Rhinolophus ferrumequinum: one gene and its partners. The protein of the gene in region 1 interacts with the protein of each later gene in a pairwise test. Links are inferred from orthologs where the notes say so. Each region holds a gene or a part of one and is shown in the gene's direction. Other genes may lie near its edges.

Evidence for each region.
Region 2: the proteins of DMRTB1 (region 1) and NIF3L1 interact in a two-hybrid assay, tested with the Homo sapiens proteins (2 studies listed by BioGRID and IntAct). The two-hybrid records come from large-scale screens. The link is inferred for Rhinolophus ferrumequinum from reciprocal best matches to the Homo sapiens genes DMRTB1 and NIF3L1.
Region 3: the proteins of DMRTB1 (region 1) and PKP2 interact in a two-hybrid assay, tested with the Homo sapiens proteins (2 studies listed by BioGRID). The link is inferred for Rhinolophus ferrumequinum from reciprocal best matches to the Homo sapiens genes DMRTB1 and PKP2.
Region 4: the proteins of DMRTB1 (region 1) and SLAIN1 interact in a two-hybrid assay, tested with the Homo sapiens proteins (2 studies listed by BioGRID). The link is inferred for Rhinolophus ferrumequinum from reciprocal best matches to the Homo sapiens genes DMRTB1 and SLAIN1.

Annotation. Positions count from the first base shown.
Region 1 is NC_046292.1:38,263,520-38,271,040, forward strand, and holds the start of DMRTB1 (doublesex- and mab-3-related transcription factor B1), read left to right. Parts: upstream 1-4,519; coding exon 4,520-5,159; intron 5,160-7,152; coding exon 7,153-7,358; intron 7,359-7,521.
Region 2 is NC_046291.1:30,355,913-30,363,202, reverse strand, and holds the start of NIF3L1 (NIF3-like protein 1), read left to right. Parts: upstream 1-4,288; 5' UTR 4,289-4,354; intron 4,355-5,003; exon of another isoform or gene 5,004-5,150; intron 5,151-6,377; exon of another isoform or gene 6,378-6,503; intron 6,504-6,599; 5' UTR 6,600-6,624; coding exon 6,625-7,060; intron 7,061-7,290. Other genes in the region: PPIL3 (peptidyl-prolyl cis-trans isomerase-like 3), read right to left, coding at 487-554, 921-1,014, 2,096-2,170, 3,417-3,425. UniProt on the Homo sapiens protein: May function as a transcriptional corepressor through its interaction with COPS2, negatively regulating the expression of genes involved in neuronal differentiation.
Region 3 is NC_046293.1:41,680,704-41,688,538, reverse strand, and holds the start of PKP2 (plakophilin-2), read left to right. Parts: upstream 1-4,820; 5' UTR 4,821-4,988; coding exon 4,989-5,211; intron 5,212-7,835. UniProt on the Homo sapiens protein: A component of desmosome cell-cell junctions which are required for positive regulation of cellular adhesion.
Region 4 is NC_046287.1:28,440,502-28,448,165, forward strand, and holds the start of SLAIN1 (SLAIN motif-containing protein 1), read left to right. Parts: upstream 1-4,654; 5' UTR 4,655-4,880; coding exon 4,881-5,482; intron 5,483-7,664. UniProt on the Homo sapiens protein: Microtubule plus-end tracking protein that might be involved in the regulation of cytoplasmic microtubule dynamics, microtubule organization and microtubule elongation.

The DNA of each region.
Region 1 (7,521 bases):
TTTTCATCAAATTAGCAAACAAAACCAGTGTCAGTGCTATTGGGTCCAACTCAGCTAACAATGCCCCTTTTGAGCATGACCTCTCTGCCTGGATGTTGCTCTTTTCATCTGCTGCACAGAATTGTTTGTTCCATTCTTTACCTCTACACCCTCTTCAATTGCTGTTTGATTTTCTCTCACTCCTTTGTCTTACATCACTTCTGCTCTGCGCCTTACCTCTTTAAGACTCCTAGGAGATTCATAGGATCAGTCAACAGGGCTCCAGGGTTAGGAAGAACCACCCTGCCTAGCACAGTGCTAGTTCAGGGCCATGCCTCGCCTTGAGTACATGCCCCACCTGGAACAACCACCCCAAAGAAAACCCCACTCAACTCCATTTTAGTCTTGCAATACCTATGCGAGTCCTAGTTACTTATTGCTCCGCTTTCTGAAAGAAAACCAAGGGCAGGGACTAGACGTCTGGCCATGGTGGGTTCTATCTGGTTCTTACCATGTCATTTTCTCTCCTTAGTCTTAGATAGCGACTCCCATAATTTCCCCCAAGGAGTCCCTACAAGACCTGGCTACTGCTTCACTTCTACACCTCATCTCTCTCCAGTCTTCTGACCTCACATACTATCGCTACCCTGCAGGCCTTCACACATGCTGCTCCGTCTGCAACACACCCCTCCTGCTCCTGTAGCTGGCTAATTCCTACCCAATCTTTAAGGCCTCAGCTTAGAAGTCAGCCCCTTAAGGAAGTCTTCCTTGGTTTCTTGATCCAGGTTAGGCCCTTCATAGGGGTTCCCATAGCATCCTGGGTATCCCCCGCTCAATCCCCAGCTTTCACCTGGAATTATTTTTTAACTGTGTGGTTTGCCAAAAGGTATGCCTAAAGGTAAAGATTCTGTCGTTTTATTTACTTCTGTGTCCCTTGTGCTTAGCATATAGTTGGTACTCAATAAATATCAGCTTTGGGTGGAGGAATGCAACTAAGCAGGGCATCCCAGGACGTTTCCCCAGGTTGCTACCACTTTCACCCCCTTTTGTCCCACCTGTAGTAAGGTATGTAATATGACAAACATTTCTATTCATTATCAAAGTTTCCTTGAGGAGAGCACTGTGTTTGTTTAGAAGAAATATGTAGTTAGCAGTTAATATGCTTAAGAACGTGGATCTTGAGAATAGATTTCCTGGTTTTGAATCATGGCTCTGCCACTTAATGGCTGGAAATCTTTGGGAAAATTACTTATCTTCTCTAGGCCTGTTCCTCCACATAAAATGGAGGTGAAAATAATGGTACCTACCTTAGAGTGTTGTTGTGAGGATTATATGAACACACATAAAAGACTTAAGAATTACTGGCACATATACAGATTTAGTGCTAGCAACTATTATTACTATTATTAAACTATTAGGGGTAGGGGGTGAGCTGAAGGGAATCAAAGCTGATCCCCAAATTCTGCTTGTCAAGAGAGTGGACCTGTTCACCCTGGGCTTTCTGTTTTGTATGATGTTTGGGGAAAGTTGCTGAAGCCAAGTTGATTTACTGCTAATTAAGGAGGCGATAACTTTGACATTGGCAGGGGAGGGAGGTAAGATTCACTTATACATTCAATAAATATTTACTGAATATCTATTGTGTGCTAGACATAAAGGACAATAAGATAGATGCAGCTATTACAGCGCTCTCGCCAAATCAAAAAAGGAGGCAGAAGCTAGAGAGGTTGGGTACTGATGGGGGCAAAGGGGGAGGAGAGGCCAGTTTCTCTTGAGTGGGTGTGGCACAACAGAAGAGGATCTTGAGAGAACAGAAATGCTAAGGCAGAATTTTCAAGCATCTGCTACAGGATGTGTCATGTAAATCCTGCCTCCATCCCTACAAAATCTTCAATAAAGTTTTCATTGCTCACTAGAGTGAGCCTGAAGAAGGGGAAGATAGCAGCTATCTGGGTTATAGCTGTCGGGGGAAAGATACTATAAACAAAAAAAAGAGCCTTCTTTATTCTTGTGTGCTACCAGTAAGGAAGCATTGCAGTGCATGCAATATTTAATGATTATAAATGATACCCCAATGCACTGCATAATACAGGCTCTTTAAAATGAATATGAATTAAACAGTATCAATAGCAACCATATTAACCAAAGAGAAGGCATTATTCGAGGTAGGAAACTTGGAATCCAAGGGAAAAGGGGCCATTATTGACTGAAGTTGGGAGTCAGATATGACTACCAATCAGCTCCTTTGTGGTTAATTAGTCAAACTGGTGATTCCTCAACAATTCTAACTTGTTATTTTATAAACCATTGCTTATAATGATGCAGACTTTCTTAAACATAAATTTTCTAAGGTTTAGGTGTGGGGAAGGGGTTCATTGTGTGCTTATTGCTCCCATCCTTTTTTGACCTCTAGTTTTTCACTTTGATGTTATTACCATCTTTTAAAATACATTTCTTTGAATATATATGTATATATATACATATATATGTATGTGTGTGTGTGTGTGTGTGTGTGTATAAAGGCAGCAGCTTAAGAAGAAATCAGTCCTCAATCTAAATAAAACAAAACTATCAATTTGCCTGAATTTCCAAGAGTGAAATAAATAAAGCTCTGTTGGAATTTACCTACATAAATTGCGACTTTGGGGGGAAGAGAGAAATAAACTAGTGTTTTCCCCCCTTAGATTTATTTACTGTATAAACCCTGGGGTTTCTACATCTTATAATGTGACTACTGATTAAAAAGATATGTGGTTGTTTATTAATGTTCTCAAAGCACCATGCAAATTCTCATCACCTTGGTTGTATTTTGCCCCCAAAGCTATGAAGTAAATACGGAAGCATTTTGTAGTTAACAAGGCTAAAATATGTTAATTCAAATAGTTGGCTTTGAGTAGAATTTTACTTTATATCATTAATAGAAAAATGAAGAGAGCTTGGGTAGTCAAGCATGAAATATAAATAGAGTAGTTTTCTTTTTTAGGCCTTATCATCTGATGTTAAAATTTAAATTTGGTACCATAGAAACTGACCTTACAATTTGCATCATCATGAAACAATGCAGCTTATACCCCAGATTTTTTGACAGTAGTACTGTAACTGTGATTTTTATGTACCATTTTCAAATGAAAAAGTCTGTGAAAAAATTAGATATTTTGAATTGGGTAGAGTCAGAAAAAGAGCTTGACTGTCTTTTTATCTATGGGACCATGTTTTAAATAAAAAATTAAGATAGAGGGTGTTAGAGCAAAGCAGAGACAAACTTAGATCTCTCCAAATGGGTGACATTCATGACGAGCCAAATAATACAGGAAGGACATACTCTTGCCCTCTTAATGGGAAATATATTTCTTTAAAGCAGAAAAAAGACTTTACAAACCTCTTTTTCAGCTTCCCAGTATCTAACAGGCCTCAGAATGGCAGCCATTTCCTATTCTCAGGTAGCTGGTGAGAAATGCATAGTTCAGCTGCAACCAGAGGCTCAGGAAAATTAAGGTGGACACAGGGCTATAGCTTCTACCATTCTGCTGCCAGAAAGAGAATTTCAGAGAAAAGGCAATTTAAAATGCACTTGTTTTAGCCAGGTATTAACCATAAGTACCTCCTCAACTATGACTCATGCTATGATTATAAGCTTTCAACTTAGGTGTGAGTGACCCATTTTTTCTTTTCTGGAGCCTAAAAAACCCCCAAAATATCAAAAACAAACCTCAGGGTGTCACAAATTTCTATCAAACAAGAAAATTAAGTGATTTAGTAGCCCTGGGAAACTATGAAGTTTGTGCCAGCTTTTCAGTTGTCCCAAGATTTGGGTTGCTTTACAGTGATAACAAAATTCATGGCAAAGTTAAGCAATGATTCAAGCTCACGTTAAAATATCCCAAGTCTACTTTACTTGAAAGCATTCTAAGTATGCTTTACTTTGGAAGGCATCAACAACAGCAACACACCATCTTCTAGAAATGCATTCCTGTACCAACAAGTTTCTTAAGAAATGGGAATTACCATAAGGACACATCCTTGAGCACCTATAACAGGGCATTGAGCTCTTGAGAATATTCTGGAAGCATCGCTGTGAACCGCATTTTGATGATGATGGCTGCGCCTGCACACTTTTTCCTTTGCAGGGGAGAGAAATAAAATTTAGCAGAAGCCCCAGCTTTTGGAAGGAGAAACACGGTTTGCCTCTTAGAATGCTTTTCTACTGTAATGGGTTTGCTGAGAGGTTCGTTCCACTGTAGCTTTAAATCTGTGGACCACTGAATATCGTTCTGCCTTTTTTGAAGTTAAAAAATACCTTGTCTGTGGGGTGGCGGGAATAGAAACTTTGGAAAACTAAATGCCTAAGACTTCAGATAATCCAGATGACATATATGCAATAACGTTCCATGAAGAATTTATTCAACCCAAACCCTTGCGTCTAATGAACCAATGCACAGAAACTCCAAATTTTGCACCCTCCAAAAGGGAGGGAAAATGCAAAGGTCTTGCTGCAGCTCCCGGGACGTACTGAGAGCTGTTTTGTTACAATTGTATCCAAATGTCCTCAGCACCAGAGACTTCTGGGGCGCTGCTCTTCCCTGCTCCACTTGCTCTGCAGCTCCCAGAGGAGGCGGTAGGTGCTAAGAAGGCAGACCTTGCCAAGCTGGCCGACAAGATGCTGCGGACCCCGAAGTGCTCGCGGTGCCGGAACCATGGTTTCCTGGTGCCAGTCAAGGGCCATGCTGGCAAGTGTCGCTGGAAGCAGTGCACCTGCGAGAAGTGCTACCTGATCACTGAACGCCAGAAGATCATGGCCGCGCAGAAGATGCTCAAGAAGCAGGCCTCTGAGGAAGAGCATGAGTTAGCCTCCGGGGCCACGGCTGTTGCCTCGGCCTCCAGCTTCCACCCGCTGCCTCAGCTTGCAGCTTCTGGAGACGCGGAGCCAGCGGGCCCCGAGGGCCGCGCGGCCACCTACGTGCTGGAGAGACCACCGCGGGGCCCGAGCCCCGGCCCAAGCGCCTTCCAGCCAGTTCTGGGCGGCCGCGGCCACATGGGGCCCAGCGAACGAGCTGCTGTGGCTGTGCCCAGTCTTGTGGGGCCCCAGCTCGGGGTGGAGGCCGCAGGCAGGGGAGGCCCCGGCCGCCTGGAGTTGCGCAGGCCCATGCGTCCCGTGCCCAGTCCGCCGTTCGCCGACTTCGGTAAGATTCCTAGGCCCCGTGCGGCCTTGTCCCCAGGGTCAGTTCCTTTCCGGGCTGCAGCCTCCGTGCAGGCCGCGCTGGCGTCCTAGGCCAGCCTGGATCCCGCTGCCTGGGATGGGCCCTAGGGGTGGGGGTGGGGAAAATGCTTTCCATAGGTAACCTTGCTTTGAGAAACCTTTACTGAATAATACAAAATTGGGTTGAGCGCCTTTTTTGCAAAAAGGTAAAAAGAGCGATAGAAGGGAGTGGGTGGTCCAGACAGCTTTTAACATTTAGCTACAATTTTTGCCTTTCCATCTTGCAATAGAAAATGGCCCCCAGTCGCCTTAGCTGTGGCTCCTTTTCATGGGGGATATTGGCTCCACTGCGCTTGCGTACCTCTTCCCGCCCTTTTCTTTGACTGGAGGCTCCTCCCCCGGAACGTTGTCCCCCACACACCCTACAACGATTACTGATCCTGTGTACTCTTTCTTCCCTTTCCACAGGCTAGAGGCTTCTCCCAGAGGACCTCCTTTCCATTGTCCCAACCCGCTTGCGCGTCCTTTCCCGCTCTTTTCTTGGGCTGGAGGCTCCTCTCCTAGGACTTACTTCCGGATGAGCGCTCTCAACTATGACTGCGCCTGCGCACCCACCTTTCTACCTTCTGGAGGCCCCGCCCTTACCCGTGCCCTGGCTCATTGCGCCTGCGCACCCCTTTTGGTACCCTATCCCGCCCTTTTCCTACGAGTGGGTGGGAACGGGACAGCGTCTCTGCTCCACGCAGGAAGAGAAAGTTGGTTCATTGAGATGTTGACTCTTTTTTTCTCCTTTGCCACCATGTTCGTTAAAATACAACTCCCAAGTCATGTGTAGATTTGAGGCTTTTAAACAACAGCTCTTTTTGAGTGCAGACGTATGTTGATTTTCCCCTATGGCATGTGGTAAAAAGACCACAAGTCTGAGTCAGTAGCTGGGGACTACTCACCCTGTCACCTTAAGCAAGCTCCTTCCTTCTGTGGCAGTCTCTTCTCTCTTATGCTAAGGGGATTGGCCTGGATGCTCTCTGGAGGCCATTTCTGCCTTATGGGACATTCTTGGAAAATCTAGGTCCCTAGGGAACTAGATGGGGAAGGCAGACCTGAAACAGCAATCCTAGGAGGATGTTTCCATGGACATAGTGCCTTTCTTTGTTCCATCTCTCAGCAAACAGACTGAGCACTTAGTTATAATACGGTGTTTCCCAGAAAATAAGACCTAGCCGGACAGTCAGCTCTAATGCATCTTATGGAGCAAAAATTAATATAAGACCTGGTCTTATTTTACTAAAATATAAGACCAGGTATATAATATAATATAATAAATATAATATTAATATAATATAATAATATAATATGAGCTGGTCTTATATTAATTTTTGCTCCAAAAGACACATTAGAACTGATTGTCTGGTTAGGTCTTATTTTGGGGGAAACACGGTATGTGCCAGTGATGAAGTGGTGAGGGGGGGAAAAGTCAGATTCCTTGCTCTCAAGGATCTTGTCCTTGTGGGAGGGACATTACTGATCAAAGAATTACACAAATCAGTGTATAGAGCTCTAATAATTAATGGTTTAGCTGTGGTATAAAAGAAGAAGAGTAGGAGCCTAGTAATGAGGACTTAAAGAGGCAAAGTGGATTTAGGGGAGAAAGCCTTCCAAGCCGAGGGAACAGCAATTGCAAAGGCCTTGAGGTGGGTGAGAAAGAAGAAACTGCTATGTTAAGTACTGGAGGAGTCTGGAGTGGAGGCAGGAACCAGCCTGCATGGGGCTTCATGGCTGTGCCAAGGACTTTTTCTAAGAGCAGTATGATATGGTAGAAAGGTTTAAAAAGCAGGGAGGGTCAAAAGCATAATGGATTTGGGAGTTCTTTGTAAATGGATCTGTGTTTACTATACTGCTGTCGCTGGACAGTAATGTGATGCTCTTTTTCCTAGCTCTTTGTGTTTTTAACACTTCCTCATTGCTTACCTTTTCAGGGTTCTCTCTGAGCATCAACTCGGATTGTGCAGTGGGGTCTGAGTACCTGGAGAGAGAGCCTTCCAAGTTGTACCCCGGTTGCTCCAGCATGCACACTTACCACCCGTTCCCGCTGGGCTACCAGGATGCATCCCCGACCCCGGGGATCCCCCTGCAGTGGGGCTTTCGGCATGTGTCCTGCAGCCACTACCATGGAGGAGGCTTGGTGAGTGCCATCCTGACTTCTTTCTGGGTTTCTCCTTATTCCATTTGCTCTTGCTGCTTTTACATATCCTCAGTCCCAGGAAACCAGTTGATGGGCGCAGTGTGTACCAGGCCCATTGACCTTGTACAGTGTGCGCCTCTGGGAGTACACATGTGTAGACAAG
Region 2 (7,290 bases), on another chromosome or scaffold:
AGATCTGCAGGCATTAAGAGAGGAATATTTAAACATCTAACAAAAGATGATTAAAATTGGAGATTGATAATGGCAATATTGTAACCAGACGTTCTGATAGTCTTTCCTCCCCACTCTCTAAAAAGGGCAATGATTCACATCATTTAACGAATTTTATTTATATATTTTTTTATTCGATGAATTTTATAATGACACATTAAGCTCCTGTGGTACATTACTGATTAAATATTTCGGGCTGGACCCAAAGATGAGCTCACTTAATATTAAGATTCATGTGATGGTAAGATTCCAGTATATATTTTAGGTTAGAACTACCATTTATATTTTCTCCTTGATATCATTTATTAAGTGTGCAAAAACTTCACAAAAAAAGTATTAATATTTGCTTACTAATAATGTTACCTTGTGTTACTAGAACATATGTATCGAAATTTCCAAGTGTAAACAAGGCATGAGAAAACAGATTTTGAAGCACTGGGGACATACCTTAAGATATTCACTGTATTCATCCTCAAATTTCTTGCCCCAGATACTATTACCTCCTCTTCCGGTACCTATATTACAAGACAAACAGAAGTATCTAATTAAAGTTGAGAAAGGGTTTATTTTCTAAAACTTAAGGGCTGGTTTACAGTGTAACTCTTTGAATACAAATAAAATTTAGTATGTCCTCTCTTACTTCCCAAAATTTCACTTTACAAACCAGAAAAATAAAGTATCTGTAGAAAAAATAAAAATGCTCCTTATTAGTACTATTCATATTTTAGGGCTAGGTGCTAGTAGCTTCAGCTTAAAAATTGCTTGCTATTGTAAGGTAGCCCAGTTATAAAAACTCCACATGCTTTTATTTTCCTACTCTTTGTCTACCCTCTTCTTCTCACTATAGACCCAATTCCCTAGCTATTAATGGAGTAACTTACCTGTAGGATCTCCTGTTTGAACCATGAAACCCTTGATATTCCTATGAAATATACAGCCATTGTAGTAATTACTGGCACAGAGAGCCAAGAAATTCTGAAGAGAGTAAAAACAATGATTGAGAAATCATGTAGCAGAAACAAATTTAAGATATAAAACTAATTGTATTTACTGAAAACACTATAACAGCATATTTAAACTATGTTTTTTAGGCATTACTTTGGATAATGTTGCTTCCCTGACTAAAACACTTTAATGGCTTCCTTCAGTTCTTGAAATAAAATACAAAATCCTCAGCAGGGCCTAATAAGCTCTGCATGAGCTGGTCCAACTCTACATCTTATATGATAATAACCCCATCCCTGTTGCTTACTATGTTAACCCCATCAGTCTCCTGAAAATTCATCCAAAAGAGGTAGGCTTTCCCACTTTGAGGCATTTGTATCTGCTATCTCTATATCTGGAATGTTCTTTTTATATATCTTTCCATGGAGATGCCTTCATTACCTTTCACACTCAGTTTAAGTATCACTTTCTTGGGTAGGCCTGCCCTCACCTTCTTTTAAATAATTCCTTTCCCCATTATCCTCTATCTTAACATTTTATTTCCTTCAAGGCATTATCACCCTCTAGAATTACTTTTTTTTTTTGAGAATGAGCCCTCCCACCCCACCCCACCCTTACTCTGGCCTATTTTCCCACCTAGAATAGTATCTTCACAAGGGCAAGGAATGTTTCTTGTTCATCACTTTATTCCAAGACACTGTCAAGATAGCCTTTTATAAATAATTGTTGAATAAATAAATATATAAAGCTGACTCTTCTTCGTTCTATCCTTGTCATTTAAACAAGTGAGATAATGTAAGGAACAGTTTTCTTACCTGATATTTCATGATTATTTATGTTTCCTGAGGAAAATGAGCCAAAAGAAAAAGATACCAGCCACTCTATGGTTAGAGAAAAATTATCTACACTTTCTTTGATCCACTTTTGACATCAAGAAAGTTTAAGTTGAAATTAGGCCAGAAATTATGATGGCTGGCTTTACCTGACAATGGTTTTATAGAAAAGGTTTTTGGCTATTTATTGTTGGTTATTTTTGAATCGTTCAATTTCAAAATAGTTATCTGCTGCATTAACTCTTTTTTTTTTTTTTTTGGTACATAATGATACTCACTTCACATGTTTTGGGTGTCCTCTCACAGAAGACTTCTATTTTAATATCACCTACATCTGTATGCAGTGTCACCGACTAAAAAGGAGAGAGAATGTGAGAAAAACAGATTTCTTCAGGTGACTTTATGCACTGTATGATTTCTCTAACTAGATATTAAAGATGACAGCCTAAATAAAAACAGATAGAAATACTGTTTCAGAGATGACCTGTCCACATAGAAGCTCTGGGAGATAAGTTATATTTCTTCAAAATTTACTTCTGCAGTAGGAAAAAAACTCCAGAAGATAAATATAAAGTTTAGGGTAAAATAGCACCTATGCTAAAAACTGGGGAGCAAATATTGTGATGGAAATAATTATTTTAAGTTTCAATTTTTCATCAATAAAAACAATTGTAATATTAGTATTATTGATTTAAATGGCATTCACTAACATCACGGACATTTACTGAACAATAGTAAGAAAATGAATTTCAAAATATAGTTTCCACCATTTCCCTTATGTAATTTACTTATGAGATGCAGAGCTAAAAAACAATTTCTTTCTCAACTAAAGACAAGACGTAAAAAGTGTCAGTGTTTCTAGATTGTAAATGTGCAAAGGTAACCATAGTACTCTGCATGCTTGCTTTTTGTTTGTTTTACCTGTTATTTTGGTAGCTTGAATATTCCTTTTGTTACCCCATTCCAGAAAGAAGGAAATGTATTTTGGGGCTTCCTTTTTCATTTCTATTCTTGTTAATAGTATCTAGCATTCAGAAAGTATGCCCAGGTTGAAAATAGAGAGGAGTGTGTGTGCCTGTTGAGAGCACCGGGTGGGGTGGGAGTGGGGCAGGACATTATTTTCATTGTTTTTCACCTACTTATAGCTCTAGCTGCTCGCTCACCTTAGATACAGAGAAAAGCTTCCAATTATAATGATCACACCTAGCTATATCCTTCTGCTCCTCCTACTCACCTTTTTCATCTCTATATCTTGTAGTCAATCTTTTTTCCACAAAATATAAATTGTGTGTTTTAAGTGAAAACAAAAACAATTTAAAAGTAATTTTGCTTACTTCTGGTTTTGTTTAGAATATTTTCAGTGTATGATTCTACAGCTTACCACTTTTCTTTGTCTTCTTATTGAAATTTCCATGCCGTTTTATTTCCCTTGACTAAATTTCTAAAAATTACTTACAATGAAAGATATTCATAAGAATTCTATAAAACTTACCATTTTTCTTACTGTTACTTAATTTCTCACAGTCTTATTGAGAGAAGTTCGAAAACAAATCTCTATTACCAAAAGAAAAAAGAATTAAGTTGATTTGTCTCTCTTACCTCACTCATGCTCACGTTTACTGCATACTTAAAAGTCTCGAAGAGCACCTCCCAAGAAATAAAAATCCGATTATGGAAGTGATGAGGAATTCCGACTCAAGCCCCTCAACCTCCTACTTCCCCTACTCACTGTTCTTCAAGAGCCTCCTTGCAAGTCCTTCAACAAGCCGACTTGGGGCCTAGAAATTGGCTGCTCCCTTCGCCTGGAACGCTTACACTCAGGCATCTATACGGCTATTTTCTTCAGCCTCCAAGTCTGTGCTCAAAAGGCAGGTCTCATTGACTTGATAACTCTATTTAAAAATGCCTTAACCCTAGTACCTGTCCTATTTTCTTTTCTCCATAGCACTTATAACTAATATACCATATACTTCATTAATTTATTAAGTCTGCCGTTTCCCGCCCAGAATGCTCACTCTAAGCAGCCTAAGAACTAAAACACACTGCTCTGCAAGCATTTAAATAAGTTAATGAAAGAATGAGCGCGTTACCCCATACTTACTTAACCACTTCGATTAACACAACTGTAGCTAAAACAGGAAAGATGCAATCGCAGATACCTCCGCCAGGTCTCTAAATTGAAAATTAGTATCTTTCAGCCACCGGAAGTCGAGCGTGGGACACATTCGAGAGAACGCCCCTAATGAGCTTGCCTCCTTCCTCCCCTCTCCTCCCTGTCTCAAACCCAAATGTCTAAAACTAGGGAGACAATGTAACTTACCCCTACCTGAAACACTTTTGACAGTGAAAAGGAGCTCTTTTAATAGTTATATTAGGACGAGACACGTAGCCCGGAACTATTATGGGCAGCAATCCTTGGACTCAGAGGTAAAAATGGGAAGGACCACTTCCTCCTGATTCCCTTGCCTCACTTATTCCCACAGGCCGGAAGTCCCGCACGGGACCGGAAGTGACGCACGAAGAGTGTTCCAGGACTGGTGAGTTTTCAGCGACTTAAATCCCGGCGGACTTAGGTTCTTGTGGCATGAGGCTGTTGTGTGCAAAGTGCAACGACAGGGGTCCAAGAGGTGATAGAGGCAGAAAACTGGCTTGCAGTATGAGAGCGTAGGGCACTAGTGGGGCAGGAGTCCAGATTCAACGAGTTACTGGCTGTGCCAAGGGCTCTTTCTTGTCCTGGGAGAGGCCTGAAGTGGGACGGAAGTGAAGGGTAGATGAGGTAACTTAAGGTGTAGTTTGCAGGCTGTATAGTGGGACTTACTAATGTTACTAAACACGGGTCAAGTATTGTTTCCAGCTTTACGGTTAAATCTTGAGGCAACCCTATGAGCTGGGCATTTATTTCCATTCTTTAGCGGTGGAAACCACAGAGGTTAAGTAACGTTACACAGCGGTAGCTTTGGGAGTCTGTCAGTCTGATTTCAGAGTCGTGCTCTTACCCACCATGCTCTGCCGCCTCCCATTATTAATTGTGGCATCAAGCTACGCAGAGTTGCAGTTTCCTAATCTGTGAAATGGCGACGGGAGAGGGGAGGTGGGTGTCTGTTATTTCCAAGTGCTCTTTCATAAGTAACAGTAGATAACTCAACGGGGGCTGGCCCACTAGAGCTTCACTTTTGCACTTGCCAGATTTAGAAGAGTCTGGAGAATGGAGAACTATCAGGATGTGGAATGTGCAGAGTGGAAGTGGTATTATAAGGACCTGAGAAGATCTTCCAGTACCCCAGGCTTGAGTGGTTAATGGAGGCGCCCCATCACTTCAAATCCTATATTGAAGTACTACTCACATCTCAAATATTTTTGCTGTAGAAATGTTGCCCCAAATCTGCTTTTGAAATCATTGGGTTGTGAATATTAAATTTACAATTGGCTATGCTTTCTTGTTAATTATTGGGCATACAATGAAATGCTTTTCTTAAAAAACAAAAGTGTTTACGGTTATTAATTTAAGAATGGAGTTGACAATGTTATCTTTTGTATTGGATATGGTTGTCTTAGAAGGCTTACAGACTCTGGGCAAAGTGCCCTCCACCTTCACCTCTTGAGCCTGGCCTTCCTGTAGCAGGTGTTGGTTCAGGGGCAGCAGCTCCTGCCCTTTGAGTACTTTTCAATGCCAATATATACCACCCTAACTCCCAAGTTCTGCTGTGATGGGGGAGGGGGATTGTGTACATCTGTACAGTAAGCATCTAGTGCTGGCCTATGTTGGTGATACTGAGACGTATGAAAGATAGTTCCTATGCTCCTGTAGTATTAGCATACTGGGGAGACAAACAGGAATATAATATTATGAGAATACCAGGGCAGAGCGGGGTGGGGCAGGGAGTAGGGAGACACTGAAAAGAAAGGTTTGTCAAAAAAAGCTTTATTTAGGAAGTTGAAAGGAACTTGGAAGATAGGGTAATATTTAGAGAAATGGAGAAGGGAGGAGAGTGGTGGAAGCTAGGGTGGGGAGAACAAGAACAGGGGTGTGGTGGGGGCCGGAGAGGAGGGGATGAACATTTGTGTATTATGTACCAGTCTTGTGCTAGTTGACTTACACATATTAATACATGTGCTCCTCCAGATGGCCTGTGAAGGTTGTAGTATTTCCATTTTGTAGATGAGGAAACAAGTTCAGAGAGGTTACATGACTTACCCAAGATAATATGTGTAGCGCAGGGGATCCTGCCGCCTACGCCAAGTGTCGTGCGGAGCATCCGGCGGGGTCTCTGGTCCCACTACCCACACAAAAACGCAGGATATGGCTAGGCCAAAAAGGAACACCCACGGAGCCATAAGTAGGGGAGTCATATCTCTATACTCTCGCTGGCGGCTGGGTTGGAGAAACAGGAACCAGGAGCCACACAATTCTCAACCCTCACTGCGCCGCTTGCAGGCTCAGCCACCATCTTCTTGCTAGCTCCCCCCTTTTTCTGCTAGCCTAGCCACGGCAGTTATATTCGTGGCCAATGGCTCACTGGTTACAGCTGACGGCCAACTAGCCACAGCTGCTGGCCATTTGATCACAGTCGATGGCCATTTACTACCTGAGCCAGCACCTTTCTATGTGAGGCTGAGAGCCTGGAAACTGCTTTTTGGGGCTCTGTCCCCACAACATGTAAGTGCAGAGCCAGTATTTGAACCTAGGTATGTATGACTGTAGCTCTTTTGCTCATATGCTTTATTGCCTCAAAAGTCTGGGCCTAAAGTGTACATGTGTATCATTTTCTGTTCTGACTTCAGATACTCAGTTTTACCTGATTTCTGTATGTTGTCATCTCGTGTACACCTGGTCCGCACGACAGTTCGGCTAGTTCATTCCCTGATCTGCAATTCTTCCTGTTCCTTCATGGATTTGAAGGCTCTCCTTTCCTCCTTGAATGATTTTGCATCCCTGTCGTTTGCTGAGAGTTGGGACAATGTTGGATTACTGGTGGAACCAAGCCCGCCACATACTGTAAACACACTCTTTCTGACCAATGACTTGACCGAGGAAGTGATGGAGGAAGCTCTGCAAAAGAAGGCTGATCTCATTCTCTCCTACCATCCACCTATTTTCCAACCTATGAAGCGCATAACCTGGAAAACCTGGAAGGAGCGCCTGGTGATTCGGGCTCTGGAGAACAGAGTCGCTATTTACTCACCTCACACAGCCTATGACGCTGCACCCCAGGGAGTCAACAGCTGGTTGGCTAAAGGGCTTGGTCAGAAGCCTCTTCTTTTATGTTTAATATTTTCCTTATACATGCTTTGAAATTTTAGAATGTCTTTCTAATAGAGTTTTAACTGCTTTAGGGGTGGGACCATTCTATTTTTACATAATATATTTAAAAATAATGTTGCTAAAATCTGGCAATTAAATTGCATTTGAAAAATAAAATTTTTATGATTAATGAGTAAGGAAAGCATAGGGAATCTTCGTTGCTGGACTGAG
Region 3 (7,835 bases), on another chromosome or scaffold:
GCAATAAATCAAACCCAGCTCTGGCATCAAGCACACATTTATATCACTCTACCATTGTATGATGATGTTTATGAAGGAAATAAAGGGGTGGATGGGGCTTTTAAAATCCGAGTCAGATTATTATTATTTTTCTATATGGAATGTAATAGTTCCATTTTGAGAATTTCAAGGAAATGATAGCATGTATAAAAAAAGGAGATAAATTTAAAATTTAGATAATTTATTTGTGAAGGAATATACACATGTATCAATCAATATCTTGTATTCAAATAATGTTCAAACAATTTAAAAAGTATATAGTGCAATAAGTTAAATAATTTAAACAATACATGACATTGAGGTGCGAGATCCTCTACAAAGTTATATAAAAAAAATCTACTGAATTTCTCTACTACCTTCATAACATTAAAAATCTCTAAACATTATGCTCCCCTAGACACTCAAGTCACTTCAGAGATTTTGTTTCAGGCCAGGCCACCTCCTTCCAGATCCTTTTGTTCAACTGCACCTGGGCCCACTCAGAGGCAAACAAATTATTCAAAACGCAGATAGGTGAGAGGTTATACTCAATGAATTATTTATTGAGCATCTGCTAGTTATCTCATTGCTAGGTTCTTGGCAGAGACAAAGAAGAGAGGACCATGGTCTCTAATGAAGATAGGAATGCATGGTGGAAATTGACCAAGTTGTCCCCTCCCTTCAGAAGCCTCTCTGGGCATCAGATGAAAGATCTGACAACCATTAATGTAGCAGCTCTGATCATCCATCCAGAAGGTAACGATTTGAACTGATGTACCGAGCTCACACATGCCCATGAACTATGCTTATTGCCTTGAAAGCCTCAGCAACCATGAACAAATTGCTCATTGCCAGCCTTCATGGTCGCTCACCTGGTTTCCACTTCCTACACCATATTTGGGATCTTTTAAAAAGAATAATTTTCAGACCTACAGACTCACAATATATCCAAAATGGCAGACAAAATGAATGTCTGCCTTCAAGGTAAACACATTAACCAGCACTGCTGTTGAAAGTCACCGTTGGAGAGTGGTGTGCAGCGCCTCCGTATTCAGAGCTTCCTTTGCAGTCCTGATCCACTTTCGTTATATGTGGCTAATGATAAAACTGCTAACCCATTGCCTTGGCAACACATCCATTTGCTAAAAAAGGAAATAAAACCTGAGGTTTATTTTAAAGTTTCTATCTGCCAGGTCTCTTACACTAATTTAGGAAATACTTTATTTTTTTTAACAGCAATAGATAATAGCGTACAAATAGTAACAGGAAATATTTGATGAGAGAAGACACTCACGAAAATGGTAGAGTTTATTTTTTAAATATAAATCAAAGAGTTTTGGTGCCATTAATGTTCTTTACTGTTCTCCATTAAAATATTATATCTGCCCTAAAATTTATACTATATTTAATCTTCTAGTACCTTCCTCAATTGTTTGCATGTTGAAATTTCCCATATTGGAATTTATATATGGTCAGAGGAAATAAAATTAGTCTCAGGAAGCCCTAACTATAGATTTGAAAACTATAAAAGATTAGTGCTTTAGAGCTATAGTGTGTAAATCAGATAAAAATGCAAGCATAACAATCAAGAATTTCTGAATCCTTATTGTGAGTTCCCAGCAGAAGGAACTGTAGCCTCATAATTTGGTTATCTGTTATTTACATTCTACTTCTACATTCCTGTGGTTCTACTATTTTTTTCTTTTATCAGATTCTGTTGGTAAATTAAAACAAAAGGAAGAGATTTTCAAAACTGGGCCTAACCATTTAAAAGTAGCAGATTGTAGTACAGCCAAACACCACAAAAGTATTCACAGCATTTTATTTCTTCAATTTGTTGGCTAGAAGCTACCTTTATCAGTTCTCTCAGGGCTTGCTCACCATTTAGGAAGTCGACTAGGCAGCTTTCCCAGGAAACATGGCAGGGCCTGCACTCTGTTGGAATAGAAGCACATCTAGACTATGTTTTGGGGCACAATGCCAAAGTCTGCATACTTCTTCACCCTGTAATTAACTAATGCTATTACAATAGGATTCTCACCTCCAAGGGTACCCTTTTAATGAGTTTATGTTTATCTTCCTTTCAAAGGAATTGTTCTCCTGAATCATTGAATTCTGCAAGTACTCAAAAATTATCTCAGTTTAGTTTGTTTTTGTATTTACAGGGAAAACTACATAGCTGAGTTGTAGAATATCTAGAATATATAATGATATCTACCTGACTTTTTAAAAGATGATAAGTTACCAAAAGTGTGAAGACTTAAATAATTATTATTCACAGTGGTTGAGCACTCATTATATACTGTGCAATATATTAAGTGCTTTTATGCATCATTCATTCATTCAACATATACCTATTTTCTACTATGTGTACTATTTTAGAACCAGGAGAACAGCAATAAATAAAACAGAATCCCTCCTTTTATGGAGCTTATGCTCCAGTAGGGAAACAATCAACAATTAAATAAGTAAAGCATAAAGCATGTGTAATGAAAATAAGTGCTATGGAGAAAAATTAAGCAGAGACAGGAGATAGTGACTGTGTGTGTGTGTGTGTGTGTGTGTGTCCATAAGTATCTATTGAAATACGTTGAGATGAGCAGAGACCTGCGGGAGGTAAGAAAATCCAAAATTGGATCTCAGGGGAAAGTTTGTTAAAGAGCATTGAACAATTATTTTGTTGAGTATTTCTTATAACCACTTACCATTTAATCCTCACAGAAGCACCTCATGGTAGGTACTTTTGTTGCTCCCATTTTACAGGTTGTTGCTCCCATTTTACAAGAGAATTGAGGCTTAAAAATATAAACAAACTTGCTTAAAGCCACACTACTTATAAAGGGCAAGCTAAGATTTAACCCTGATCTGCCTCACTCACAAACTATGCTTTTACCATCTACCTCCTGTCAAATCACCCAACTACCCAATAACAAGATTTCTACATGCTCAATATTGGTACCTACCTAATAGGATAATCAATTAAAACATCACAATTAAAAAGAAAAAAAAATCAATTTCAGAGTAAAAAAGTAAATGAAGTTTGACTCAATCCAATAAACAAATGAGAAAAATGCCTCTCCACTCTCCTAAAGAGGAATTTAGATGAGGCAGAGCAGACCTTGTAAATCATGGCTCTCCAGGCACAAAAAACAAAGGGTGCCCTAGCTGACCCAGTGGGGGCTGGTATGGAAATCATCTTTCAAAGCAGCACTCTCAGGGCTGACAAAGAGGAGAGGGAGAGATGAAGAAGGAGGAAACAGGAACAGAGTTTGTTGTTGGACATCTCTATCAGTACTTCCCCTTCTGTTCACCCCTCTCTTTTCAATTGAATCTGAGCATCAGGGTTGGATGTTTTCACCTGGCTACCTAATCGAGCTCTTCACAAAGTATGATCTACCTCAAGACTGGTCCTGCTGGAATGGGACGAATTGCTTCCAAGACTGACAATCCACTATATTAATCCACTTAATCCAATATATTAAGTACTATATTCCATAAGGACTTGGCCATGTGGCTGGCCAAGAGAGAAAGGATAGCAGAACTATCACCTCTTCCTTGTCCAGGGATGGGGCCCCTTGATTTCCTCTTTGTTCCCTGGAAGCTCATTGACCTGTGCATTAAGTGTGTGCATAAAGAAAGAAGGGTTTGCCTAGGAAAATGGGGTAGCAGAAAGCTGTGTTCTCCACCACTCCAGACCTGAATAAGTGGAGTTTTGCAGTAATTGAGTGATTAAAGGAAAGTGAACATACAAACCAGAGTAATCAAAAGGAAGATTATCTTCCTTAATACCAGGGACAGATGTTTTTCTTTCTGCCTCTCAAGTCGAGGAAAATCAGGACAAGTGGCTTATGTTGTAAATTTTAAGGTCAAGGGTCCTTTCTATTGAGCGTAGCTCTTAAGTTCTCAGTAGTCAATTACAAGTGAAACATAATTGACAGCGCGATAAATATAAGTTGTGGAAGATGCGATTGAAAGTCAGAAGCCCCTTCCCTAGGTCCCCTACAGCTATCATAACCAGGACTTAGTCAAACCCGTTAGCAGGACTATTAAAAAGTATCACCTATTCACAGTGCTCTTCCCTAGCACCTCTTACTGGAGTTTCTCTACGTGGGTGTGTTTGTAAGAGAGGAGTCGGTGAGCATAGAGAGTACTGGGTACAAAGTGTATTTGTAAGAGGAAACAAACTCTCAATGAGGAAGAACATATGTTTCTGAGACTACATCTGTGCAAAATACATAGTCCCTGAAGTTGTACCAAGAAGAAAAAAAAAAAAACTACCGTATTTTAAAAAGTCTTATTTCACATATGTCATCTTCTTGGCATATTTCCCTTTACTGCTTTTTCCGCCTGACCAAATAGTCCCTTCTCACCCTCAGGTCCAGGAGAATCACGAAATGTTTCGAACAGTCTGACAGAGCCTGACTAACCAGATATATTACTCACTCGGGGATCCCAGAGGCAAACCTCAGCCTAGGAAGATTAAGTTGACTCTTCAGGGCGCACCTGCCCAGAGGGCGGCCCCTCCGCAATCAAACGGAAATCACACAATCTCCGAGGGCTGGGCAGAGGCCGAGCAAGGCAACTAAAGTTGGGCGCCGCCCTGGCAGGCAGTATCCTGGGTGACTCCAGAGGGTGCTCGACCCGGGCTGACCGCGCCTTCCCCACTTACCCGGGGGCGGGTCCAACTGGCCAGGTATCTGCGCTGGCGGCGGCCGGCTCCGCCCCCGCTCCCAGGCATAGTGCGCCTGCTTGGCTGCAGCCGCGCCTCCTTCCCCGGGGAGGCTGGACTCCGGGGCTCGGTTGGCCGCGCTCCCCTGGGCTCAAGCCTCTCACCCGCGCGGGGGGCGGGGCCGCAGGCGGGGCCGGGACGGTGGGGCGGGGCGGGGATCGCACCAGTGCCCCCGGCTCCGCCGCAGCTTTTCCTGCAGGTCTCGCGGCTGGCAAGCGGCTCGGTCGCCTTCTCCGGTCCCATGGCAGCCCCCGGTTCCCCCGCTGAGTGCGGCTACATCCGGACGGTCCTGGGCCAGCAGATTCTGGGGCAGCTGGACAGCTCCAGCCTGGCTCTGCCCTCCGAGGCCAAGCTGAAGCTGGCGGGGAGCAGCGGCCGCAGCGGCCAGGCGGCCAAGAGCCTGCGGATCCAAGAGCAGGTGCAACAGACCCTGGCCCGGAAGGGCCGCAGTTTCTTGGCCAACGGTGAGTGGAGCCCCGCCTCCCCCCTGCACCACCTCGATCCTACCCCTTACTCCTTCGCTACCCCTCCCTCACCCGCAGAGCCCCGTGGCTTCGGTTCGCTGCTTCCTGTGGGTGCCGGACCTGGTGTTCAGCCCACCTGTTGCTCGTCGTCCCTTTGTATGAGCCGCCGCGCCTCCGGACTCAGACCCGCTTACTTGGGGAAAGCACTTTTCTAAAATAACCTCTTACTCAGCTCTGTCATATATGTATCCGTGTATGTTAAATGTACGTATATATCTAAGTGAAAGAATTCAGTCCAAGATTTTCACCCCTTCCTAAACTTGCTCTCTTCGGCCCCCTTGTCGCGTCCCCCACTGGCCCCTCTTACAGGGGTCTTAATCTGGAGACTCCGGGAATGTGTCAACACTTTGAAATTTTATGCAGAAATTCGGTATGAACATTTTTCTAGATGAAAACTCCCCTACCTTTTATTAGATTTTTTTAAGAGTCTGTGACCCCAATAAATATTTTGGAAAAAAAAAAACAACCTGAAAGTACTGGCCCTCCTACGAACTGTATATTGGGATTGCGATGCCTCGCCCAGGTACTTCGCGGCGTTCCACACCGTGTACCGAGCGAGCGGTTGATCTAGGAAGTGAAAAAATTGGGTAGGAGGCTTTGGGCCTGGGAACAGTCACACCACCCCGCCGAGGAAGAGGGAAAGGAGGAAGGGTATTTTGGCCCCGCCGGCTGCAATATCCCCTCCGCGAAGCTGCGCCCGCGGTCGCACTCGTGGGCACAGCGCTGGTCTCTCCAAAAAATTAAACTTGGAGTGAAAGAGGTTTTAAGAAAAAGGGGGTCTAAAAACACACTATATCAGTAATGGATAGCCAGGGGAGGTGGAAGGGGAAGATGGAAAATCAGTGCTGAAAATTAGAAAACATGATATGTCATTTTCTCCCCTGCTGAGTCAGATGATCAGAGCCACACCGTGCCTTTTATTAATTTATTTTTTCATTACAAAAGTATGATAGGCTTTTTATAGAAAAGAGAAGAGGAAAGAAATTGAACAATTAATTTAGTTGGGATATCAGTTTGTTGAACTGTTTGTCTAGGAAGTTGAACTGTAGGAAGTAATTGGACAACAGCATATGGAGAACCCATGAGGAAAAAGAAAAAAAGACCAGATTAGAGTTTGAAAACAGCAGACCTGGGAGGGAGGCTTTATTGTTTTCAACTTGTGTAAAAGAATCCTAAAGGATCAGGCAGTCAATGTTTATATACTTGAAAAGTAAAGAGATGTTTAATGATTATAGTTAATTAATGTAATTGAGTGCCTACTGTGTGCCAAGAATTGTGGTTTGCGTTCATTGTTATTTATGTTTCCAAAAACACTTGTGAGGTAAGTCTTTTTATCCCCATTTTACAGATGAGGAAGCAGTTATGTAACATTCAAGTTCCCACATATAGTAAGGAGCAGAATTGATATTTAAAGTCCCAAGCCTGAATTTTTAAACCACCCATCAGTTATTGTATATTGTTAAGCTTCTTCGTTATTAGTACAAAGTAGGATTTTTATTGGACCCTACGCCTCTTTATGGCCCCATCCTGTTTTCCTCTAAATAAAATTGAGGTGGTTCTGAGCGAGTGGGAGGTCTAGATAACACAGAACTACCACAATGCATGGAAAAAAAGGAATCCATATTTACTGTTTAGGAGTCTGATGACTCCAGAACAAGTGTGGCTACTTTTTCACCAGTGGAGTCATTCCACCTCTTTACTCTGTGCAGGCCGGTGCTAAACTGAAACCAAACTAGATTCTGCTGGGGGATGCAAGGAATGCACATTAGATATTCTTTCTTAACCCCTGAGAATGGCTAGCTAGAAACAGCAACCAGCCATTCATTCAACAGCAACTTGAATGAACCAGTTCTTTCAACAGCAACTTGAATGAACAGAAGGAAAGGGAGTATTGCTGAGCATCTATTATGCACCTAACACTGTTCAAGAATATGTTTGCATTTCGTTATGTCCTTAAAACAATTACATGAGATAGATACAAAGATCCATTTCACACATGAAGAATGTGTTGGTCTCTCAACATTTATTGGACACTTAGTCCCAAACCTTCACGGGATTTATCCTCTCTATAATATGGTGAATTCATGTTGCTTGGTGAGTTCAAGGACTATCAAATGAGTCGGTGTGTGCAGGGCACTGCAGGTGCTGAATTAAACATAGACTGCTTGCTTTAAAGCAAGAAGTTTAATGTCTGAAGAAGGAAGCCTCCCTCTAAAAGACCCATTATCAAACACAAACTGACAAGCGACCCAAAAGAACAGCTAACACATTGTGGCGTTTAAGTGGATGAGTTAGACCACTAGCTGAAGAGAATTTTGAAAAGCTTCTTGGAGAAATTGGGATTTTAGATCCCCCAAATCTAATAGGATGGGACATAGGGAAGTGGTTGGAGGAAGACCGTTCTAGGAGGGAATAACAGGAATATTTCATGGTTCACAGAATTGATATGGCAGAGTACAGGGCATTGTCATGGTGCTTCTGCTCAAATGTTTAGGGCAACTGGTTGAGTGGCTCTTCCAACTAAAGAACAAAGTGCTTGAAATATTTTGATTACAACAGTAGCT
Region 4 (7,664 bases), on another chromosome or scaffold:
AAGTGTTGTACCAGCACTGGCAACTTTGTTGATCTTGGTAACTTACTGTTTTCTAATCTGAGCTTGGAAAGTTTCAGTAATCTTTGCTGGGTAATGAATCAGACTTTGTTTAAAGCATTCCTGACTATTGGTTTTGCACAATCAATAGTTTTTATTGGTAAGCCATTAAGCCCAGAGCAGGGTGTTGTGCTAGGTGCTGCTGAAGACCAGAGATATTGCAGTTTGTGAACTTGGATTCTGAAGGCAGGCTGCCTAACTTCAAATCCTGGCTCTGCCACTTACTGGCTGGGTAATTTGGGGCAGATTATTTGACCTCGCTGTTCCTCAATTTCCTGATTTATAAAACAAAAATAATAATAGAAACTATCTCAAAGTGTTGTTTGATGATTAAATGAGTTAATACAAGTAAAGGGCTTAGAACAATTGCTAGCCTTTTCTAAGTACTAATCGCTACTACTAAGATAAATTGTAAAAAGTTTCATTTTAATGGGAGTGGTAGATATATGAGTTATCCATAAAAATAACAAATTGACCCCAGAGGAAACAATATTGACTAGAAATTAGAGCTGGGTGCTGTATCCTAGTTCTATTGTTGCTTTGATACATCCTACATCTTGTCTGATAAATGCATATATCAGACTTGCTGTAGTGTCTCACAGCTTGATAAGGAGAACTGAATGAAATAATGCATGCTTTCTACATGAAGTCTTCCCAACATTTTTAGCCAAAATTAATTGCTCCTTCTTGGACACTCACTCCCTATGCTGTTGATTTGTATTTTTATCATGATACTTATCGCACTAAGTCTTGTACTATAGTTGTTTATGTGCTTCTTTCTCCAACTAGATAAGATCTCGGTGTCGGAGACACTGTCTTACTCACTTTTAAAAAATCATCTAGCATTATGATTTGAGCATAGTAGACATGTAATAACTATTTATTAAAAAGGGGCTCTGAAAACTGTAGCTTGCCAAATAAACAGATTATTATTATTGTTATTATTATTCCTATTATAACTACTACTATATGTGACTTTACAGGGCATAATTACATGGGTTGATGGCAGGGATTTGAGTAATAGAGTTGGGTGGGGTCAAAAGGGAGCAACCCAAACAAGGATTATAGGCATACCCTGGAGATATTTGGGGTTCATTTTAGAACCATAACAATAAAGCAAGTCCTAACCTTCTTGCTGCTGGTGGTGGAGGTGGTGGTGCTGGTGGTGGAGGTGGTGGTGTTGGTGGTGGTGGTGGTGGTGGTGGTGTTCTAGCCTTCAATTTGTAAAAGATGCAACATCTGTAAGTGCAACAAAGTGAAGCACAAAACATGAGGTATACCTATATGTACATAAATTCCGGTTTGATGCATTTTTGTTTTCTCTCTGCATTATCTCCTTACGTGAAAATGCACACATTAGATGCAGCACATATTTTTCTAGCTTTTAATTGGGTGAGATGTGAAATAATCAATTACTATGGGGTTTGCAAAAAGTCTTATAATCCTACTGGGTTGTTACCATATGATAAATGGAGTTTATGAAAATAAACAATTGGATTCTTCTCTAAATTTCAGCTAGAGTTTGGGGATTTACTTATTTATTCATTTATTCTTTAAAAACCTATTTCATGTTTCTTTGCTGTGCTAGACACTGTGCACAGGGCAGTGGAGACCCACAGTATTCAAGTCTATTCTGAGTGGATAAACAGAACTCTCTATTCAGAGGCAAAAACAAACAAACAAAAAAGCAAACAGTGTAGTCCAGATGAATCAACTTGAAAACATAGTCAGGGATCTTGGATCTTAGCTTAACACCTAGATGATTTTTTTTTTTTTTTGCAGTAATTGGATCTATCAATTTGAATGAATGTAGGGCTCATATTAGGGTATGTCCACTGCGCTGATTGAAAATCTACATTTCAAACATACGGGCCTTACTCTTAGAGGAATTTTACTCTAAAACAAAGGTATATAAGGAAAGGAGTGGTTGGACCACTAGGAACTGTGCTGAGAACTACTGTTATTTTCATGACTGAACTTGGGCAAGTAAACTAACCTTGTTCCTAGATTTCCTTGGAAAATTAGATTTAAAAATTGAAGAAGAAACTATGCTGCTTTTGCAATTCTGTGGCTGGATGAATTTGATGTCTATAGATACTATTAGAGGTATATGTGAAAAATACAAATGAAATAAGTTTACTTTCTCTCTTAAAAGTCACCCCAATAAACTTTAATTTTAAAAAAGTCACTAGAATGGCCACATTTCTGAGGTGCACTGGCGAAATACACTTTTATTTATCTGTTTTGAATGTGTAGTATATGGATATTTCTCATGAGCTTCTGGTGTTTTAAATGTATTTGTAAAGCATAAAGTTTTTGATGAGACATGCACTTTCATTTTTCTTGTCTTTGTAAACCTCTGAAATCACCTTATATATTTCATTTAAAATAAAAAGTACTTTAAAATGGAGCAACTATACATACAATTTCTTTCAAAACACAAAGCTTACAAATTTACATCAAAATAAAAAAAATCAAGACTGCTTAATTAAAACTTTGACACCATCAACCTCTTTAATTATGTGTTAAAGAGACTGGCATCCGGAGGATAGCAACTTAAAATCAGTGTGTGTTTTCAGTGTCTATGGTGTGTGTATACCTATAATTCACAGAAGGGGGAGGGAGTGCTTCAATTGAAAGGAAATACATGATTTAAAATTTTTTAGACATGAGTCATTTCACACTTTTAAAACAGTTTGGAAGAGGGCAAATTTGTCTTTGCAGAAGAATGCAGAATAGAAGTTTAGGCCAGAATGTTTTATCTCTCTTTCATGTCTAAATTTCAATGAATACTTTGTTTTTACGCAACAGATTCTTATGACAAGTGTTACTTAGAGAACACAGTTCTGAAGCTTGACTACTAGTTGCGTGGATGTATTCTACAGCCCATATTGGCTAAATGGGGGAAGAGCAGGCTGTTTATTTCTCTCCTCTAGTGTTTAAATTTTGCAGTAACGTGATTGCTTTTCTTTACATCTTAATTCTTGTTGCCTCTCTAGTCTGCCTATCCCCAATTTCTTTTGCTAATGTGGAACCCAGCAGCTCTTTGTTCTCATTGTGTCTGTCTGTCGTCTCCCTTTCTTTGTGTTGCAGGGATTCTGCTACCCGCATCTGCCACTGAGCATGCGGAAAAAATCCTTCAATAGATTCTTTACTTAGGGCTTTCGGTAGTATTATTCCACTTTTCCAGGTTTTAGTAATAACCAGAATATCCAGAAGAAGGACTGAAACTTGGAAAGGTGATGGGTGATACAGGTGGTTAGGTGGTGGTCTAGCAAGCTGGGACACCTGAGAGGAAGGTTCAGGGTTTATGCAAGCTCTCACTAAGCAAGTTAAATACGGAACAGCCACCCTTCACACAGAAACTAGAGATATAGGTTTACAACTGAGAAGACACAAGTGTTTCTGAATAGGAAGGCACAGAGCCATATCTAAAATCAACCGGTTCAATGTGCGAGCAGTTCCAGAGCCTTGGGGTACATTGTCACGAAGATTGGTGGTATCTAAAGTCCCTGAGCGGGGACTTTCACTAGATAGTTTACCATCTGAAAATGAAAACTAGTTGTATGGACTTTTCTCATAATAAAATCTCACTTTCCTCTGATTGTGTTAAACACTCAAAATGCTAAGTCAATATTAATTGAATGAAACTTGATTCAATTCTTCTTCTTAAAAGCCCTTTCGCTCTCCCCCTCCCCCTTGAAGCAGATTTGTTAATGCTTTCCATAGGATATAAGAAGTAGATTTGAAGGTGAGATTAGGCGTATTGGGGTAGAGTTCTGACCTTAATAGCTTGTATATTATTTAATAGATGGAGCTCTACACAATTTTACTCATGTGTCTTCCATATTTTTGCCTGTTTTGTTCACTGCCTGCATGGCTAGGTCTTAGAATGGTGTTGGGAAGAGTATGGTTCTCAGTCTTTTGTTTAATGACTATCTAGTATGTAAAACACGATCATTTTATTGGGGCAAACATTGGTGGTAAATAGAATAGTTCAAATTAGACTATTTTCAAATAAACTGAAGTTGAACACTTCAGTGGCTCTTCAGCAGCTGGCTACTCTCCCCCTCTTAGTGAGGGGAGGTTTCTTCTTTTTCCTCGGCCTCCCCTCTCCCACCATTTGGTTTCTGTATCACCAATTAGCGGATTAGATAGCATCGTTTCAAAGCTTTTCTGTTCCACCTATTTACTTTTAGGTTCTTACGATAATGTCCCCTAGCCTTTTGGTTTCCTATGGGTTTCACTAGCTAGTGGCTAGCAGATAACGTGGTTAAGCATAACAGTGTTCTTGGAAGGTAGTCAGCCAGAGGGGGCGAGGTGCGCTCCTCTTGGGCTAGCACCTGCAGCTGGGGCATCTTGGTAGAAGCGCTCAGTCCGTACTCTCCGCAGCTGCGGGAGGAAGTGCCCGTGGCGGGACAGCTCAGGCAAGGTCCAATAGTAGGCACCTGGGCTTAGGTGGCGGCGGCGGTGGGGGCCCCGCCCCTTGGGAGCGCCTCCATCCCGCTGGTCCTCCATTCAGGCCCCGCCCCCCCGGCTCCCGCGCCCCGCCCCGCCCCGAGGCCGCGACTAAAACCCGGAGCCGCCGAGGCGCCCAGGGGACCGGAGAGACGCTCTGAGCATGTGCAGAGCAGCTCGGCGGCTGCTGCCTGGGCGGGAGGCTGGAGCCCGGTGCTGATGCGAGCAGCCCACTCGGCCTCAGCCCCAGCGTGGTCGGCCCCCCGGGCCGGGCGGCAGGGAAGGAGCCGTAGCCTCCCCGCGGCCAGAGGAGCCTGCACGAAGGTGCGCAACCCCCGGCGGCTGCGGCGCCCTCCGGGCCCAGGATGATGGCGGAGCAGGTGAAATGCGCCTCGGCGGGGGGCGGCTCCGGAGCGGGCTCCGGGCCGGTGGTGAATGCGGAGCTAGAGGTGAAGAAGCTACAGGAGCTGGTGCGCAAGCTGGAGAAGCAAAACGAGCAGCTGCGGAGCCGGGCGGCCAGCGCGGCCGCCGCCCCGCACCTGCTGCTGCTGCCGCCGCCGCCGCCGCCCGCCGCGCCGCCCCCCGCCGGGGCCTGCAGCCCGTTGGGTCCGCGGAGCCCCCCAGCCACCGCTGCCTCTTCCGGGGGCCTGGGTCTCGGACTGGCGCTGGGCGCCGGGGGCGGAGGCAGTGGCAGCACCAGTCCCGCGTTCCCGGGGACCTACTGCCTGCCCAGCCCGGCGCCCTCCCTGCTCTGCAGCCTGGCGCAGCCCCCCGAGGCGCCCTTCGTCTACTTCAAGCCTGCGACGGGCTTCTTCGGCGCGGGTGGCGGGCCGGAGCCGGGGGTCGTGGGAACGCCGCCCGGGGGAGCCGCCGCGCCACCTTCGCCGCCCCCCACGCTGCTGGATGAGGTGGAGCCGCTGGACCTGGAGAGCGTGGCTGCCTGGCGGGACGAGGACGACTACACCTGGTATGGCCGAGCTCCGCTCCCTGCCCCAGGACCTGGGCTTGGAGGCCCCGAGGACGACGGGGAGGACCTGGGCAGGAAGGGGGGGGCTCCCTCTCCCCTGTGCCCCGGACGCTGTGGCCTAGCAGGTGCCGAGTCGGGCGACGAGTGGAGGAGGCTTTACACGAGGGCGGAAACCTGCTTCTAAAAGCTCAGGCTGACCCGACTGGGGATGAACTGGTCCCCTCCATCTCCTTGTATGCAGCTTTCCGCTGATGGTTGGGTCCCAAGCGCCTCATAGTATTAACTGAAAAATCCATGTTATCTTGTCTTTTTGTTACTCAGTCTTGCTTCCCCGTCCCCCCCGCCCCCAGCATTTTTGGTAGTGACGCGGAATGGGTAGGGGTTGGCCTCAGTCTGCGACTGTTACTCCCAAACGAACGCTGGGCAGGATCTGCGTATTGTCCCTCCCCCTGTGGCATCCCACGCTGACTAGTGATTGATCTCCTCTTAGAGACTCGTTCTTGTAGTTTGAGTTGTGCGGTCGTACGTCCTCATTCCCTCCATTTTCATTAATAGCTTCTCATTTCAGAGACTGACTTGGTTTACTTAAATGTGCTGACCTCACTGGCTTCTTAGTAATGGTATCAAAAATGAGAGCCTTTCAGGGAACGTAGTGGGCAACTTGAAGACACTCTTGCTTGGGAACTAAGGAGCTTTGCTTAATTAATTAAACTGGTGATTGAAGAAAAGTGAGATTAAAGAAACTTTAATTTTCAGAAACTTTAAGTTATCAGAAAACTTGAGGCTGGCAGCATTTATTCAGTTTAAATCAGTTAAGCTCTTTCTACTTTCCATCAATGAGTAACTTTGGAGGAAGGGGTTCTTAATTCCTTTATTTTCCATTTTTCATGCTATTTGCTCATAGAGAAATAATATGCTTTCTTCAGTCTCTAGAGGTACTGGGATATGGTCAGATGTGTGGAAGCTTCAGATAGGGTGGAACTTAGGTTCATATGGGGAAAATGAACAGCACTCACCTCTGCATAGCAGTGGCCTGAAGAATTGAGTTGTACTCCTTTTATCTTGGGTCCCTTTATTTAGGACCCTTCCTATTTTTCCAAGTTGAGTTTTCCTTACTTTGTGTTCCTCTTGCATGATTGCACAAGAGGGAATGGGAAATGGAGAACACTACTGGTTTCCTGTTGGGATCTGTTGTGTTCCTTTTACTTTACACTCTTTTATGTAAGAACTCTGTACAGTATGTTCACTAATTGGTTTGATTCTGAGAATCAAAATGTATGGAGAATATTCATATATAAGGCATTCATGCTCCTCCTTAGTACTTTACTTTTGGGCAGCTGTGCCAGTAGCTCAAGTTGTAAAAAACAAAACAATTCACCTCTTTCTTTAAGCCATTCAAGTTCCATTAAATGGGACTTTAAGCCATTCTTTAAAAGCTACACCTTTATTTTTGTGAAGCTGAGGCTGTATTGTAATCTCAGTGTCAGCCTGAAAATGGTACTGGAAAATGCTCTCATGGTGGCTCTTAGGTTGGTTATCACTAGTAACTATAAACCCTTATGCTCTCATGTTAGTTTAGATTGATTTAGTCCCCATTTGGCCTTTTCTGAAGATATGTGCTAAAATAGTGGAAGGAAACTTGTTTGTATTTTTGATGGAGATCAATTCTATGCTTTAAAATATTAGCGCTTAAAAATTTATACTGTTATTAAGTGTATTAGATTGGTGATAGTATATATAGCTAATATAATCTTAATATTTCTTTTGAATGGGTTTCTACCATAGTTATCCAATGATTGCTTGTACTTGATATCTAGACTTGGCTTTCGTAGTTTTGTTCTTGTTTTTTTAATCAAAATAGTATTGAAACAACTAACTTAAAAAAAAAAATCACCTAGTTAGTAGGATTAGCTTGTTAGCACTTAAGATGGTTTGAAGCAAATCTAAATGGTGGCAGGTTTTACTAATTTTACTCAACTATATAGGTGAATAAATAAATCATTGCCTTGACACTTTACAAGTGTTCCTTCAGACAGATGGACAGTATTTATAGTACTGTGTCTTCTTCAAAACAAACCTAGGATTAGAATCCCAGGTGGAAAAACAGGGAGGGATCATTAATCTTAGTGGAATGGACTTAAAAATTTTTTAAAGGTCACCTGATTTACAGAAAACTTTCTAT